Oryzias latipes: one gene and its partners. The protein of the gene in region 1 interacts with the protein of each later gene in a pairwise test. Links are inferred from orthologs where the notes say so. Each region holds a gene or a part of one and is shown on either strand. Other genes may lie near its edges. The genes, in order: wwp1, cpsf6, arrdc1 and mothers against decapentaplegic homolog 3.

Evidence for each region.
Region 2: the proteins of wwp1 (region 1) and cpsf6 interact in binary tests that used the Homo sapiens proteins (3 or more experiments, as listed by UniProt). The link is inferred for Oryzias latipes from reciprocal best matches to the Homo sapiens genes WWP1 and CPSF6.
Region 3: the proteins of wwp1 (region 1) and arrdc1 interact in binary tests that used the Homo sapiens proteins (3 or more experiments, as listed by UniProt). The link is inferred for Oryzias latipes from reciprocal best matches to the Homo sapiens genes WWP1 and ARRDC1.
Region 4: the proteins of wwp1 (region 1) and mothers against decapentaplegic homolog 3 interact in binary tests that used the Homo sapiens proteins (3 or more experiments, as listed by UniProt). The two-hybrid records come from large-scale screens. The link is inferred for Oryzias latipes from reciprocal best matches to the Homo sapiens genes WWP1 and SMAD3.

What each region holds. Positions count from the first base shown.
Region 1 is NC_019878.2:10,288,180-10,292,514, reverse strand, and holds part of wwp1 (NEDD4-like E3 ubiquitin-protein ligase WWP1), read left to right. Parts: intron 1-2,196; coding exon 2,197-2,378; intron 2,379-3,215; coding exon 3,216-3,630; intron 3,631-4,335. UniProt on the Homo sapiens protein: E3 ubiquitin-protein ligase which accepts ubiquitin from an E2 ubiquitin-conjugating enzyme in the form of a thioester and then directly transfers the ubiquitin to targeted substrates.
Region 2 is NC_019881.2:14,391,634-14,396,666, reverse strand, and holds the start of cpsf6 (cleavage and polyadenylation specificity factor subunit 6), read left to right. Parts: upstream 1-1,755; 5' UTR 1,756-1,806; coding exon 1,807-1,866; intron 1,867-4,625; coding exon 4,626-4,835; intron 4,836-4,950; coding exon 4,951-5,033. UniProt on the Homo sapiens protein: Component of the cleavage factor Im (CFIm) complex that functions as an activator of the pre-mRNA 3'-end cleavage and polyadenylation processing required for the maturation of pre-mRNA into functional mRNAs.
Region 3 is NC_019870.2:26,761,656-26,766,585, reverse strand, and holds the start of arrdc1 (arrestin domain-containing protein 1), read left to right. Parts: upstream 1-1,464; 5' UTR 1,465-2,000; coding exon 2,001-2,118; intron 2,119-4,930. UniProt on the Homo sapiens protein: Functions as an adapter recruiting ubiquitin-protein ligases to their specific substrates. Through an ubiquitination-dependent mechanism plays for instance a role in the incorporation of SLC11A2 into extracellular vesicles.
Region 4 is NC_019861.2:12,626,146-12,629,191, reverse strand, and holds part of mothers against decapentaplegic homolog 3, read left to right. Parts: intron 1-2,246; coding exon 2,247-2,370; 3' UTR 2,371-3,046. UniProt on the Homo sapiens protein: Receptor-regulated SMAD (R-SMAD) that is an intracellular signal transducer and transcriptional modulator activated by TGF-beta (transforming growth factor) and activin type 1 receptor kinases.

The DNA of each region.
Region 1 (4,335 bases):
TTTCTCCGGGGGCTCCAGCTTCCTCCCACCGTCCAAAAACAGGTGGAACCTAGGAATTACAGTAATTTCCGGATTATAAACTGCTACTCTTGTTCAACGCTTTTTTATGCATTTAAAAAAAAAAAATTAATGCATTTTTTCTAAACGGCCGCCAGTTGCACTCGAGGAGAAAAGGTAAGAGTGAGACAGGTGCAATACGGTATATGTGTCGAGGAAGACGGAAGTTTAGTGTAACTTCCCGCTTTGTGAATGAATAGCATGAATATCATGGAAAATGCAAGAAGAAATGCTGATTCTTCTTCTGTTACATAAGTTTAACAGGGAAGAACCTTTTTTTTAAAGTGCTGTCATCACACCAATTACTTAAACAGAACGTTAAGAGGAATTGTAGGTTATTATTTTAAACTTTCCCTTAAAAAGTAAAAAGAACAAGTGCTCCATTTTTAAATGTCCAAGATGAAGTAATCTCTTTTTCTTCTTTTAAATCTAATTATCCATCCAGCAGTTCTTGTGTAACAGTAAAAGCATCAGTTCTGTCCAGTAATGCATTAACCAATCCCGTCTGTTTAACAGAAATACATGACATAATCCTTTTTTATAAAACATATTTTACATTTGTGAAAGCAAGTGTGATTCGAAAGGACTAGTCTGTCTTTTTTTTAACTGAGCTGAAACCTGATTTATTCTTTAGTCTGTGTGTTATGATGTTTCTTAATATGTCAAAGACTTTGTTTTTTTGTACAACATGTAAGTTACAAGTATTGTGCTGATTGATTGATGTGAGCGAAACAGGAAGTCAGAGAAGGAAACAATGTGGGTGGTGTGGTGCAGTTAAACAAAAACATTTATGGTGCTGATCACAACTATCCAGCTTGTTTCATTTTGTAAATACATTTTCTCCAAACTTGATTCAAGTCATTTCCTTCTCTCAAGGTCAGCAGGACCCCTAGATTAGCAGTGCTGCTTGGCATTAACCTGCTTAGACATTGCTTAGAGCGTTTTAATGCCATTATACAAAGTTTCCTACTCCCTATTGTGTTATAAAGTCTCTGGAGGAATGTGCCAAAGCTCTTTCTCGCTGTAGAGTGGAAACTACCCATTAAAAGAAACGGGAAAATATCCATCCATCTTCAGAACCTGTAGAATCCCTTTTGGGGGTCACAGTGTTGCTGGAGCCTATCCCAGCTACTGTTGGGCAGAGGCAGGGTACACCCTTAACAGGTTGTCAGTCTCTAGCAGGGCCACACAACCACACTCACATCTAGGGACAATTTAGAATCATTATTTACCTATGAAGCATGTTTTTGGACTGTGGGAAGAAGTCAACACGTGCACAGGCAAACATGCAAATTCCACACAGAAAGGACCCAGCAGGGATTCAAACCACACCAGGATCTTCTCGCTGTGAGGCGAAGATGGGAACACTCCATAAAAAGCATCTGAAGACCAGCTTTCTGATGTGTTTGGTTTTAAGCAAACTTGCAGAGATTAGGATATTTGTTTTGTTGTGTGCTGCCAACAAGGATTCGAAGTCCCACTCTGATCATATTTGGATCTATTTGCTGGTTTTAGTCAAAAAACTTGTCGTTTTCTGCAGAGTTTGAGAAATTCATTACTGATTTGTAGATGGGAAAATTGGCGCAAGGTTGAGACTGCTTTTATTTCCCATCATCCCTTTGTTTGCAGTCTTTCCTGCTAGTTTACAGTCCCTCACAACCCCAACCTGTCGTTAGCGGTGCAACAAAAATGGCGAGTAAAGTTGGGGCTAACCAGCCGTACAGTTTTGAGCCAGAAGACTCTGCTTTAAATAAGTACAGCAGCCTTTATATTTAGGCTTTGGTGCTGAATTTAGAAATGTTTTTTATTGAACTGCTTAAATTGTTCATGTCTTGAAAAATAATATTGCTTTAAAGCTTATTGCAAATTATTATAATTTTTAGTTTGCAAAAAGCTAAAGATTTGGTTGTTTAACTGATTGATCGTTGATTCCCTGCTGTAGGTCTTGGCTTAGCTGAGCTTTAGTTCTATGGCTGGTTTTGGTTTGGTCGTTCTGCAGGTTTGTCTCTGACATTACCTGAAAAGCTACAGCTCACAAAGAAAGCCTTTCAGTTGTGCTCATTACGCCGCTGATATCTCGTTTCGTCATTGCATTTCATTTACAATCTCCTTCTTGTCTTCTCTTTCTTCTCCCTCAAGCACAATGAATGGTTCAGATTTGGACCCGAGGTCAGGTTCCTGTTCAGCCTCCAGTGGCGCTGAAGGTCAGGTGCCTTCCAGCTCCTGTAGCCCAGCTCGGGATCATGCGGTCAACGGAGAGACAACCCTAAACTCCACTCCAGTCCACCAGCCATTCGACGGCGAGACACAAAATAGAATAGGTGAGTTTGTCTTCTATGTTCTCAATTCTAAAGTCTGTTGATCTTTTCTCTGAAAAGAATTCCTAAAAATGTCATTTTGTTCACATTTATGCTCCCTAAACAAATCTTTATTGTGTTCAAGTTTGAAATGACAAAAAGAGTAGTTTTAGGTAGGGATGTCCCGATCCGATCACGTGATCAGAAACTGATCCCAATCACGTAGTTTCAGACTCGATTGAAATCAGATGATTGTTTTGGTAAACACACTTTTTAACGAGAATGGCTCTCTGTGCTGCAGATAAAGAGACAGCTGTCAAGGGGTCTACAAAGTGCAAACTCTGGGGAAAAGTGATTTGAAAAAAATAAAACAAACAAAACAAAAAATCTCTGCATTGGTGACTGCTAGTAATGTGCGGTTAACCGCGACACCGCGCCCCCTGCTGGTTCATCAAAAATCCCACACCATCACAGCTCTACTTGACAATGTTCTTTTTTTTAAATTAACTATGAAAATAACAGTTTACACTGATAGTTCTCAAAGTCCAAGTTTTATTTTTAATCCTCAGAAAAGTTGTTATATCTGAAGTACGTCAATCATGGTGGCATTACACCAACATATCCAGCTATTGGACAATACAATACTTTCTATTTTTAAGATAAAAAGTTTATTGTTCTGAATGTTGATTTTGTTTTCATTCTCTTCTTATTAAGCAGCCATTGAGGCTGAGAAGAATATTTTACCACAGACTTCTTCATTTTTCCTAAGTGTACATGTGATGCAACAGTTGCACATGTTTTTGATGTCAAAAAGTCAGATGATGCGAACAAATAAAAACCGTCATTGTCCTGTGTTTGCAGTAAATGGGGAGTCCAGCGAGGCTGCTGCCAGGCAAACGTCCTCAGCAAGAACGGATGTGCCCCCCACAGGCGGCCACGAGGACGGCGCTGGAGAGGCCGACTCTCCTGCCGCCCCGAACAGCACGTCGCCGCCTCGGACAACTTCCGCGTCTCCTGTAGCCTCCTCTGCCGGTGCTAAACCTGCAGACACCACCGCCGCTGCTTCCACCACATTGGCCTATGCAACCCAAGGGACCAGCACCGCCACAACACCCTCCTGTTCGTCCTCTTCCTCCCCGCCCACGGCAGAAGTAAATGCTTCCGGAGACGGGGGCGGCGGCGGCAGCAGCAGCGGCAATGCAACGACAACCTCAGACGGGGTCAAGCCCAGGCAGCCGCTCTCTAATGCTGCATCATCTGATCCTCTACCACCAGGGTAAGAAAAAAACTTGATTAAAAGCTAGAACCGCCTGATAACACACGGTTTGATCCTGTGATGTTTATTCAGGTGTTGTCAGCATCTTTAAGCTCTATTGAGAACATGCAGTGGTACAGATTTTGTTCAAGCACTTCACATACACTGAAATGATAGCTATTACTGCAGTAAACTTAAAAGCCCTCTTTTCAAATGTTACATGGCAAATTCTAATTTGTAGGGTTAAACCACCTCATTTTCTCTATGTTTTCTATTTCGGCAGTCAAATCCAACTTCTGTAACATAAACATCAATAACATTTGCTATTGTTTCTCTGGGGGGTTTTCGTGTACGGTACTTTATTGACGGTCCCTGCCTGCCTCTGCAGCTTCACATCAAGGCAAACTCCGGCTCTGCATCACCACAGACAAAAAAATAAACTGTTCATAATGGTCAATAGAACTACATCCAGCGTTTTACTCTGTAATGTTTGTGGATAAAGTCAGAAGAACAGAACAGACTGGAGATACCGTGACGAGCACATAAACAAAACCGATCATATCTATGAACTTGACACATTGTGGCTGTTAGACTTCTAACATTAGCTCATCTTATAGTTTCCGTGAGTAAATGAGGTTAGAGCCCAGCCTGTATGTAGATTTTGAAAATATTAGAAAAAAATCAAAGAAAAGATTTGAACAAAGATCACCTTTTTTAATACACAAA
Region 2 (5,033 bases), on another chromosome or scaffold:
TAAGTTAAAAGTTGGAAGGGTCATACTTTTATCCCTAATTTTTACATGTTTTAAGACTAATTACATTTTACCTGCCACAATTTTAAAACGTTTTTCTGCCTTTTTTTGTCTTGTGCACTTTCACCATGTAATTAAATTGTTCTTGAAGTTAAAGCAAAAAAAAGTTTTTCTTTTGCATAACATTTTGCCTCAGGTTTTTTTTTAAGTATCTGTAATGCTCTGCTGAAAAAAATAAGTAAACAACTTTAAAAGAAAAAAGAATCACAATGGTATCTATCTAATGATAATAACATTTGTTAATGTTGATTTATTTACCAATAAATTACAATGTATTTTTATATTGATTTAACTGAACGCTTCTTTTTTTCAAACTTCTTTTTTTCTTCCATTTTTGCATGTTAAAAAGATTTACTTCTAATATATTTGTTACCTTTTTTATATTCTTTTTAACTAAAACATTTAAAATGGTCTGACTGAAATTATTATTTTTGTTGTTGTTGTCTTTGGTTGTGTTATTGACAGAGGTAAAATCTAATATATATGAAATGTTTATGATTTTTTTTAGGAGGAGCTAAAACTTGGAATGTGATTTTGTTCTTTTGTTCTGTTTTTTTCCTTTGTAAAACAAACCTGTAAATTGTTCTTATGAAAGTATTACATGGATTAAAGCCATTATTTATAAAATAAAAGATCCACAAAGTTGTTTTTATTACATTTACTTTGACTGTGTGTCATTTCTGTTTGTCTCCTTTTATTCACCTATTATTTATAAACTTATAGTTTCATATAAATGAGCAGTAAATTTATAAAGATATAGTATGATAGCAGTGGTTGTTTCAACAAATTGGATTGTGAATGACAGATGATTTCAAAAAATAAAACTTTATTTTCCAATAAAGTTTTACAAAATTACTTTTTAAGGTAAAATCCTATGTGTTATAGTTATTATTGTATCCTTTACATCAGAGTAAGTATTCAAATGTTGATCAAAAGCCAGATTTAAATTTATTTATATGACATTATTGATAAAATGTCTAATATAGTGTAAAATGTGAGTCTACAAATAATACACCAAAATAGAATGTTTTGTGTCTTGTCAATGTACTTAAAATATTCATTCATTCATTAATTCATTTTCTTAACCGTTTATTCCCTTTCGGGGTCACGGGGCTGCTGGAGCCTATCCCAGCCACTTGGGCGTCTTAAAATATTTATATTTTTAATTTGAAAAAAATATTATAGTATAATTACAGCAATACCTAATACACAGGAAACTATATAGTTGGAGATCATGTTTCACTCTTCTCTTTACACATAACTTTGCTTTTTATTTTCACTTTTAACTTTGTTGTCAAGAATTGTTACAATTTTTATTAAAAGACCATTTCTTCCAGCGATTTGTGTCAAATTTGCTGAAATTTTCAATCAACAAAACAGTAATGGCAGGTGCACAGCTGTACGTAGAAAAAAGCGTGATCTATTCTATCTATTTGAGTTCTTTTAGAAATTGCATTTCCATTGTTGTGAAAATCATTTATTAATAAATAAATAGATATTGAATTCCTCTTTTAAATGCGTAATTACAAAATACATAACAGAATAATTTATATTTTTTATAGATGTCGTATTCAGTAGTATGAATGTTTAAAGTGAAATGCAGATGATCAATGAATCCGTCATTCCCAGCAGAGCAGGCTGTAGTTAGTGAATACGACCAGCAGGGGCGCTGATGCATCTCCCGGAGTTATTGTTTGTAGCTCCGATCCTCTGCACCGCCAGGCGGACGGAGGCACGAAGCAGAGGAAAATGGCGGACGGTGTGGATCATATCGACATCTACGCCGACGTAGAAGAGGAATTTAATCAGGTATTAAAATAAAATATTCTCGAGTTTGTTCAGTGCTTTGAAGTTCTTTTTCTAATTTTTGCAATGGTCTTTTCGGCGTTATAGGAAAAATAGGTGTAATTTGATGCTCGTGCTAGCTTCTCCACTAGCAATACACACACAGGCCTCTGTCAGTCAGTGTGCTGCGTTGGTTGCAGCATAGATAGCAAACTTCTGTACAATAGATCTGCATTTTTTATTCAAACAGTAGTACACATGTGGAGGTAAATGTGATGTGGGTTATTATTTAGAATATGTACATTTTTGTCCATCAGCAAAGCGTCTAGCAGCCTTTTCAGTGGAGCGCGCGTATAGGCCGCGCAGTGTGTGCTTTCTTTTTTTTTTTTTCTCCCGACGGAGGCTGTTAACCAAACACGCATTTCATGATAAGCTAGCTGGTGTTGGTTAACTTCACACGTTTAATTGGTTTACTGTATTGGACGTGGGTTATAGTTTGGATCAAATGTAACTTGGTGTACTTTTAAAAACGTCAAAAATAAAAACAAAAGGGGAAAACACGAGTTACACGGCTTCCATTCTGGCAGCAGGTTGGGTCATCATGCATGGTGGGTGTTTTTTTTTATTCTTGCGCGCGCGCACATTAAAAACCGCGCCCCCCTTTTTAGACCGCATACTAAAATCATAACTTACTGACATTTGTTTTGCACAGAATTTGTTATGGTATTATACTGTCGGAGCTAAACATTTAAAAATAAATGTTTTTTTTCCTTGTTTCTTATTAAAATTGTTTAGCTAAACTTAATTAAGAGCCAGTGACTTAAAAATTATTAGTCATGTTTTAGTTTTTTTTAACATTTCTTTAAGTTTACTACTCTTTTTTTCCTCATAAAGCGTGACATAAAATAAAGAGAAAAAAATGCTTTTGGAATTTAATTAATTTAAATCAATTTATTATAGTAATTTGCTTTTTCTAGTAACCATTTTTACTTTTAAATTCTGGTGTAATTTCTTTTATTTCAGCTTCTTCTTGTTGACTAACTCTCTAGCACTATTTGGTCTCCATGTTTTATTATAGCTGCAGCAATTTCCAGTAAAACAGGGAGCTAAGTAAGCGTCTGGTGATATGCAGTAAACTTCTATAGATTAGGGGTCAACAGCATTTGTGACATAAAGTGCCATTTTGAAATTTAGAATGTAAAAAAGTTCAATATGTCTAGAAATGTATTTAATTCCCAACAGCAGGCATTTTGGCATTACCTCAAAGACGTTCTTTCATAACAATATTGCACAAGGAAAATAGGCCAAACTTAAAAAGTGAACTTAAATAACTTAAAACTATGTTAGTTTGAAACAAAAAGTACAGCATTTGTGGTACATCATACTGTATACGTCATGTAAATTAAATCTATCATGGTGTTTTTATTGCATGTAAAAGTAAATGTTTTACTTTGACCTTAGAATGCTAATTATAGTAATATAAATTTTCCACAATTGGACATTCTTCATTTTTTTTCACCCCCAGTAAATGGAGTGGCGATCAGCTGTACTATTCATTTTAAAACTTTTTCTCATTTCACATTTACATTTGTCAGAACATAAAAAAGTCAGGGTATAATCTGACCTTATTTGGTATTATCAACAAACTGAGCTTATAACTTCATAAATGGCAGTCGCTGTGACATCCTAAATATAATTAAAAAACCGGCTGTGCATTCATTAACCTTTAGCGCGTTTCCCGCTTATGCATGCGCTCATCGTATTGCCCCACCTGTCATCTCACCGCCAACAGCTTCAAAACACAGGGTCATTACGTCACCGTGGCAAACTTGTTTTTTTTGCCTGCAGTGCACAATCATTTAAATCACCCGTTCATAAAGGCAGAAAGTAACGTACATTGTGTGAAACTAGGCCTGCACAATATATCGCAAATTTATCGTTATCGCGACATTAAGCTGTGCAATATGCATACCACAAAAGACGGCGAAAATCGCAATAAATGGTTACCTTAAATGTGCTAAAACAATCTCGTGGCAGCTTGAAATATTGAACAAATGAAATAAATCCCTTTATGCATTTAACCAATCGGAAGGACCCATTTACGTTGTTGATCAATCAGATGAGCCCTTTTATGTTTGATGTTTGCCTCCTATGTCGACAAGGGTCATTTGGAGTATAATTTTTAAACTGTTGCAGTGAAATGGAAATTATGTTTTTGGTTGTTTTGCTGTTTGTTTATATACCGCGAATCATATCGTTATCGCAATATTAATCACCAATATCGCATATCGCGAGTTTTCCTCATATCGTGCAGCCCTATGTGAAACTATAAAAGTGGTTGGGGTCACAGTAACAGCGCTGCTTGAATGGACCATTTCCTTTTGGCCCCATAGGGGTGACAAAAGCTCATTGTGAGAAGAGATTGTCACTGTTTTTAATCCCGAAAGATGCAAAGAGGCGACAGATCCAAGTGGTTAATGTTGTCACAGCCACTGTCTTTCCCTCTGCGTCCCAGTTGTGGCAAACTGCCAATTCGATAAGCAACTTACCTTAGATTAGACAGATACATCTGTTTCAATCGTAAGAAAATAAATCGATTCGTTGATTAATCGTTACACCCCTGTACATTACTAAAAATAATATCCATCCATAATATCTTTCACTTAAAAGATGCATTTCTACATCCCCAGTTTTTATAAACGTTGAGCCACAGTTTCAGGTTCTTGTGGAATTGAACCCCACATGTTTTGCTTTAACTGTGTTAACTCATTTTTCTTTTAAAGGAATCGGAGTATCCAGTTCACGAGCAGATTGACTTGTACGATGATGTGATATCCCCATCTGCCAATAATGGAGATGCTCCAGAAGACAGGGACTACATGGATTCAATGCCTCCATCTGGCGGTTCTGACGGAGGGAAGAGTAATCCACCCAATGTGGTGTACACCTATACAGGCAAACGGATTGCTTTGTACATCGGCAACCTTACATGGGTGGGTTTCAACCATTCAAATTAAATAATTAGAAGTTTCATTGTCAATTTCGACTAAATGCTAAGAAAGTAGTATTGATAATTTGTCTCTTTTTATTATTGTTCTTTTTTTACAGTGGACAACAGATGAAGACCTGACTGAAGCCATTCGTTCAGTAGGCATTACAGATGTGCTGGAGATAAAGTTCTTTGAAAACAG
Region 3 (4,930 bases), on another chromosome or scaffold:
AACACCCTGGACAGGTCGCCAGTCCATCGCAGGGTGTCTTTGCCCCCCCCCCCCCCCCCCCCCCAAAAAAAAAAAATAAGCAACAACAACAACAAAAATGAAGGGGCTCTTAAGCCCTGATCAGATGTTACCACATGCAAGATTACCATGGATACAGCAGTCTCTTGGCAACAGTCCCGTTTGTCTGTCGTCATGGAAATGCCGGTCCTTTAGTTTAGAGGAAAAAAACAGCTAAAAAAGATAAATCTGATAGGATGGTGGAAAGTAAAAATTAAAAGGAGAAAAGTCTGTTCCTGCGTATTTGGCATCACGTTTAGATTTGGACGTTTTGGATATCGAGAGGAGGAAACAAGCATCTCTGTGCACCTGCAGCTCCAGCTGCTGATGTGAGACGACAAGTACAGTTTCAGCCAGGAAGCACCGCTAAGACAACTTAGCCCTCAGAAACGGAAAGAACATTTGAGTTCCTGCAAACTTTAGAAAGATGAGAAAACTGTTGTTTTTCTGTGGCAAAAAAAGAAAGAATTGTATTAAACATTTACAATAAAAATCCCATTGATTGAAACCTTTACCTTTGATCAGTCTGAGGCCAACGCTGTCCGTGTTTGTGAGGATGAGTCCAACATGAATCCAATTTAAAGGCTCACTCTGAGGAAAACGGTGTTTTTAACATGTTATTGTGGCATTTTTCTGATGATGAGGACATTTATGGTAAGTGGAGTGCCCTCATATACCACTTTCCTACCCTCTCAGAAAGCCAGAAGCACTTAACAGTCACACTCGCCCACACACACACACACACACACACACACACACACACACACACACACACACACACACACACACCCACACACTGCTGCTGAACACTGGCATCAACCTATGACCACCAGCAGCAATGTGAGGTTCAGTGTCTTGCTCAAAGACTCTTCGGCACATGGGTGGGAACCGAACCTGCAGTGTTCCGATCAGAGGTCGACCGCTGTACCTCTGCTCCACAGCCGCTCCAACCATTTAAAGAAAAATAAAATAAAAACTACATTTCTGAGTATTTCTTTATTCAAGGAGGGGAAGGGTAAGAGTGCTATTAAAAAACAACAAATGAGGAACATTTGTTTTTCTCAAAATACTCCAGAGATTATGAAATGTTTTTGGTTATTTCCTATAGTCTTGCCTTGGTATTTTGTTTTATTTTATTAACATTTTATTACTAAATATATAAATATAAAAGTTATTTGCCAACATGATTCTTGAGGTTTTAACTAAAGTAACTTATTTTCTCTTTTTAAAGGATCATATTACAAACATTTTATGAATAAAGTAGCCGGCCTAACACCAAAACTGAACTTTTTTGGTTTAAAATTAACATTTGTAAATTAACATTTGTAAATTAACATTTGTAAATTAACATTTGTAATATGTTTTAGATAAAAGCAGGAGCACCTACTAATGCAGATATATGTTTATTTTATGTTTTGTCTTTTTTCTACATTAAGAAACTCCATCATTTGCATGTCCTGACAGGAACTGAGTTGCTTTTAGCTCCTTCTCAGTTTCATTTAGTTATTTATTTTCAGGTTAAACTTTGATCAAACAGGAAGGCCTGCTGTGGAGTAAGGCGCCTGTAGTGAGGACACACCTGTCTGCATTCAGCGCTTCTACGTCCAACACCTAAAAAGCTGAAAGGTGCAGAACCCACCTTCCCGGCTGACGTCACAATCCAAGACCCATAGAACCAACCAAGTCCCACTCGAGAACGGAGATTAGAGTCGGATGACGTCACAGTATCAAAAAGCACCTGTGGCAGGTATGACCGTGAGGGGATTCCGGTGAAGTTTGTGGGTCTGTTTCTGAGGCAGAATCGACTCATTTGTCCGTTAACGTTTGTCCCTGAGCTCGCGGCTGGGATTCGGAGGAGGTCACGGTGACGTCACAGTCCCCGTGGAGGGCGGAGAGCAGCTCGCGGCAGCAGGTGAGCGCGCGGCAGAGCGGAGAGCAGAGCCATGGGGAAGCTGCAGGAGTTTGACATCTTCTACACCAACAACAAGGTGGTCTACGGTCCGGGGGAGTCCGTCAGCGGGGTCGTGAGGATCCGGACCAGCAGCGCGCTGCATTACAAAGGTACGGGGGAGGGGGGGGGGGGGGGTGCTGGGCTGCGCGCGCTTCCGCTAGCGGCGCCTGTGCATCACTCAGTCGGTGAGGTGAAACTTTTGCCTCGCGACGGTGCAGGGATGGGAGCGCGCGGCTGAAAAGCTGCTGTTGTAAAGTTTCTGCTAAACGAGCGAGCCTGCTGGGACGGGCTGTTCTTTAGCGCGGATGAATCTCCCAAAAATAACAACAAGCGATCAGGTGGTGGTGGTGTGTGTATGTGTGTGTGTGTGTGTGTGTGTGGGGGGGGGGGGGGGTAAGGACACCGGAACTTCTGAATTCTGGGTTCAAGGGGAAACTCGGTTCATGTAGTGTAAAAGAACGAGTCCGTGCGCACTTCCTACAGGCGGAGGGTCTGTCTGTCTGTCTGATAGTTTTTTGTTGGTTTATGATCGGCTCTCCTCTTTGTGCTCTTCTGTGTTGGGCTGCGTGATGCTCTTTAAAATACCAGCTCCACATTGTAACTTTTTGGCATTCAGAGACAAGCCCATATGACCAGCACTCCACCACCATGCCTGACAGATGGGAGGCAGAGATTTCCCCAAAAATTGTTTGAGGACAGAGACGATGTGACTCAAGCTGAACCTGAAGCTCAGTCTGCAGGTGTCTTTTAACCCCCCATCCTAGGAGGTTACCTAACTGCTTTTTACTCAGTTTGATGCATTTGCCTGATTCTGACACAATAATTATTTGAAATCAAAACCCGGAAATATAGAACAGACAGAGTGAGCTTTCTAAGACATCGGATTCCTTTTTAAGATCTTTCTCCCAAACCTGTAGTCATAAGGAGGATAGCAGGTTGGAGGAAACAGAGGGTCCATTGTGTGAGGTGACCCTGGTCAGACTGAGGCGCCCCTCAGTGGCAGGCAGGTACAAAGCCCCTGCCACCAACGGGGACTGCAGGGACGGAAATCCAATGATGGAGCTTTTCTTCATGGCGGAAAGTCCCGAACTGCAGAGGGATCGTCTGTTACGACCTGATCTGAGGCCCACCACTCCGTTCACTGCAGGAGGAGTTGATCTAAAACTGATGCATTTGATGTGCTGTGGCAACATGGAAAAGACCCCCAAAAGAATGATTTACTTCAGTTATAGCAGCTAAAGCTGCTTGATTTGAACAAAAGATTGAAGAGAATCTTACTCAAGCCGCACATGGATACCAAAGATCACTGTTGTCGGCTAATCCAGTGGTCCCTGGGCTGTGGACCAGTACCGGTCCGAGGGACAGTTGGTAAAAGCACAACCTACCCCCCCCCCCCCCTCATTTTATTTATAATCTGATTCTGAAGGAAGTTTTATTTTGGAACACTACTGGGTTCTCTCCACCACATCCAACTCGTTCTTGAGTTGGATGTTCTGGATTTTGACTCGGTCACGTGTACAAAACCCTAAAGCGGCTGCCGCTAAATTGAAACTCCAAGCTAGCAAAATAACCAAAAAACGTATTTGGAAAGTTCCAGTGGGGAAACAGAGGAAGAGCCTTCAACTTCAAAATAAAAATAAATCTGCATTTAAGACAGAAACTAGGAGTCTTTTCTCAGAAAAGGATTTATTGTTATTTTTTTTCAATAATGCAGAATACTCATCAACCAGCTGTTTAATGTTATGGATATCATAGGTCTGATTCGCATATTTGGTTTGGCAAAGACTTTACATCAGATTCTGTTCCTGACACAACCCTCTGTCTTTATCCGGGCTTGGGACCAGCACAATGGGACCCTGGCTTGGGCCCCGTCGTGGCTACATTTCATTTGGAAAAACAAAACCCAAACATTTATTTCAAATAATATTTTAAATAAAGTCCTTATTAACTATCTAAATCCAAGGTTTTACTCCCATCATAGTGTATTCCAATGATTTTTATGCTTTCTGAAAATAAACCTGGTAACTAAACAGGAAGTTTTTTTTAATACTTTTGTGATTTTTTATTTATGCCAACAAATAGAAATATCAATCTGCTGGGATTTGAGAAGACAGAAAATAGACAAACACCAGATGATCTGTGTAAGACAAAACCGCCAAGTCAGTAACTGCAGCAGTGGGAGAACAGAGAGCAGATAAGCATCAAATCGCTGCAACATCTGTTTAAAACAAACTGCAACCATGACCCTGCAGTGGAGCAGACGGAGGAACCAGTTCATCCTCTAATCTAGACCACAATGCACTGTGTTGGAACGATGCGCCATTTGAAAAAAGTGTATGGAAGTACGTTTTTTATTTATCCGTCTCTGCTAAAGGCTCATATTTAGGGTTTTACTTTGGCAAATTGGTGACATTTGAGGGGAAAGGTAATGAGGTTGTGTCTGAACTGCAATAAAATCCAGGGCACTAGATAGTCCCGCACTAGTCTTTTTGGGGTTAGGTAGTGGGGAGGGGGTTCAAACACAGTTAAGAAGACGAGTTAAAGTTCCTCCAGTGTTGTGGGAAAGTGTTGTTGCTTTTTATTGAATTAAAAATTAATTTCTTTTGGTATCAATTCCTTCAAAGAATAAATTCCCCATTATGGCTCACCCTGGTCTGCAGGTGTGAGTTTGGTGGAAAGGTTGGTGTCAATTATCTTCTCAGTTCTGTAAATGCATTGGTGTGTGTTGCTGCTTTTTGTTAATTAAAAGCAACAATGGTTGTGTACGTGCTGAATGAAGCTGAGGCGTGTCTGTAGTTTAGTCGTTTCTTTCGGGTCTCCTCGTGTCTCCTCGTGCTCGGGTCACGCCCACTTCCTGTCAGAGAAGGATTCATCCAGAGGAAATATGCAAACAGCATGAAGCTGCAGCACAGCGTGAAGCTC
Region 4 (3,046 bases), on another chromosome or scaffold:
TTAAACGGTGCTGATGAGCAAAGACGAGGCCCTTGAGAGAACAGTTGAGTAAACACAGACAAGATACTGCCGCCCTCGCTCACGGGCACCTTCTCACACTCTGGTGAATCCAGCGGCTGACGTCAGGGAAGTCTCCTCAGTAGACAAGCCGCGCTTGTCGAAACAGACTATTTTTAAACACACATGCTTTGTGTCAAAAAGATGTCAGACTTTCCCTCTTCTGGCGCTCTGTTTTCCACACAGTCTGACTCTTCGCACCGTCTGACTCACTGATAGTACGAGAGGAGGAAATGTAATTAAAGAGAAGCGAAGGATCGGCCCGAAAGTTGGGCCTGTGAGAGATTTCCACAAGGGAGAGTTTTGTGCTGCAAGCGGCTGCTCTTCATTCCTGTCCAGACCAGACGCTGACATGTGGAGACACTTAAAAAACAGGATTCAGGTTACGTGATCAGACAGGCCTCTTTCCACTCCACCTCCACCTACCTTTCTCTGTTTTCACTACAGATCTGCTTTAACTCCTTTGTCCCTCCACGTTTTTGTCATTCAGTTTAAAAACTGCTTCACATGAATGAATACTTTAAAGGAGCCGACATTGGGAAGCATTTGTGTTGTATCCGGTGAGCTGCTGTCCAGTTGATTCCAAAACTTCTGCATCCTTTAGCTTGATGAGACTTTTAACACAGAGCCAGCAGTTTAATCCCTTTGTTCAAATTTTTTTTATTTCTGCCTTAAAAATGTGAAACATCTGGATCCAAACCCTGAATCATCAAAGTTCAATCCCACTGTTCTCGTTATCAGCTCCAGTCTGTCCTGTCCATTCTGAGGTCAGAGAGAACAAAAGAATCGTAAAGATTCAAGAAGGAGAAAGTTTAGAAAAAGAAGCATATCAAATATAAACAGCTATACAGCAAAAAATGTAAAAGACATGAAGATCAGTCCACTTTGAATGTAGCACATTTGACAAAAGACGCTTCAAGATCAAGCTTCAAATCGTATTTTTTGTCTTTCTGCCTTATTGGTCAAAGTACGGCCTCATTTAAAGTCCCACTCCAATCCTCTTTGATCTATTGTAAAAGTATCCCCACTGCTCTTTTAATGAGGATTTTCAGTCAAAAAAAACAAATAAAACATTAGTTCATTAGAAATTTACCTCTGAATTGAGGGCAACCCCATTGGTGCAAAGTAAGCCCGCCCCTATTTCCCGTCATCCATCTGATTACACTTTCTCCCACTAGCTTACAGCCCCAACCGAACATTGCAGATGCAACAAAAACGGGGAGCAATGTTGGAGCAGATAACAGTTCAGACGAGGAAAACAAAGACGTTCATGGATCTATTTGTCTGCAAGTGGATACATCAGAATGGAGCAGAGCAGGGAGCTTGTTGCCCACTAATTATAGCTTGTATGTCACCTCTACAGGCTTTCGCCAACTGTATTTCTGCTCCTAATTCGCCATGATTACAAACACAACACAATTTACATCAGAGTGGGTCTGCCAATAGGTCATTTTGGAACGAAAGTTCTCAGAAATTGCTAAACGTTCTGTTCTTGAACTCTTGTTTAAGTAACCCTGACAGAGGCTGCAGACGCGCTTTGACGTGGAGAAAGAAAATCAACAGTCACGGGTTACAAATCCAGCTGATGTGTGTGGAGGGCTGGCCTACTGGTCACTGACATGAACCCTTGGCTGGTTGGTCATTGGTTCAAGTCCCAATTCTGACTTGAAAAAGTCATAGTAAAGTAAAAAAGCCTTTGCTCCACTGCTGTAATGCCCTTGAGCAAGGCTCTTAAGAGGAGCTGTTCCGTGAACAGAGGTTGACCCGGGTATCTCCCAGGTGAAAAGAGTTCCGTCTCAATGGGTGTCTCTTATATAAATAAAGGGATAAAAAACAGCTTCAGACAGTGACTCTAGTTTTAAGTGTTCTATGAATGTGAAAAACATCTTATCTTGTTTCCATGATCAGATTCAGTGCCAGACAGAACAAAACCTTGCCGTCTTGTTAAAGCAGTTTTATGACGCTGTGCAATAATAATTGCCATAATTCACAGAAAAGTCGAAGCCTCGTCTTACTAAACAGCAGGAAGTTCAGCTGCAGCTCAGAATAGATCCAGTTTGATTGCATATGCCAAATATCAGGGCTAAAATCGATCAGGTGTTTGTTTTTCCAGGACTTGATGTGTTTACTTACAGGCAGAGCGGCTGGTTCTGCATCCTCACCATCTGTTGTCTGTGTGTGCGTCCCAGGCGGCAGACAGTGACCAGCACCCCCTGCTGGATCGAGCTCCACCTGAACGGCCCTCTGCAGTGGCTCGACAAGGTGCTGACACAGATGGGCTCCCCAAGCATCCACTGCTCCAGTGTCTCCTAGGGGGAGCTTCCCTGCCCCCCCCCCCCCCCCCCCCTTTCACGAAACTGAAAACACAGATAGGAAGAGCAGCCCGAGAACTACATGATGACACGCCTCTCATCCAGCCACTGTTTGTCCCTCCTCGCTGCCAGTAGCACTTTTTTTATTTTCTAGTTGCAAAAAGGGGACACGTGCATTAATGCAGTATCAGTTTAGGAGGATCTCAGCATATTGGTCTTTTTTCTTTTTTCTTTTTTTTTTTGAAGGTCATTGTCATTTTTGGCATCTGATAGCCAGAAAGGCAGAATTATTTTTTTATTTCCTGTTTTTTTTTAATGTCTTGTTTATTGTTTATAGCTGTTGGATACATTTTACACTCAATTATCTTTAAAAAACATAGAAAAAATAAATTGTTGACATTTTTATGCGTTGTTGTTCCCTTTAAAACCCATGTAATTATGAACGTTTACTTGACTTTGTTTGTCTTTTTGGGATTTGACTGGTTAGGAAGACTTTAATTTCACTTTTAAATATTGTATAAAAGCGTTCACTGCAAACTTTGATTACATTTGTGATCTAAACAGGACTGAGGGTCACTTTGATAAGGAAAATAGCCAGATGTTTCACTACAGGTTAGTGTTTTAAAGAAATAAAATTAAACAGGAAAAAAAAAAAAATCAAGGAAACAATGTTTAAA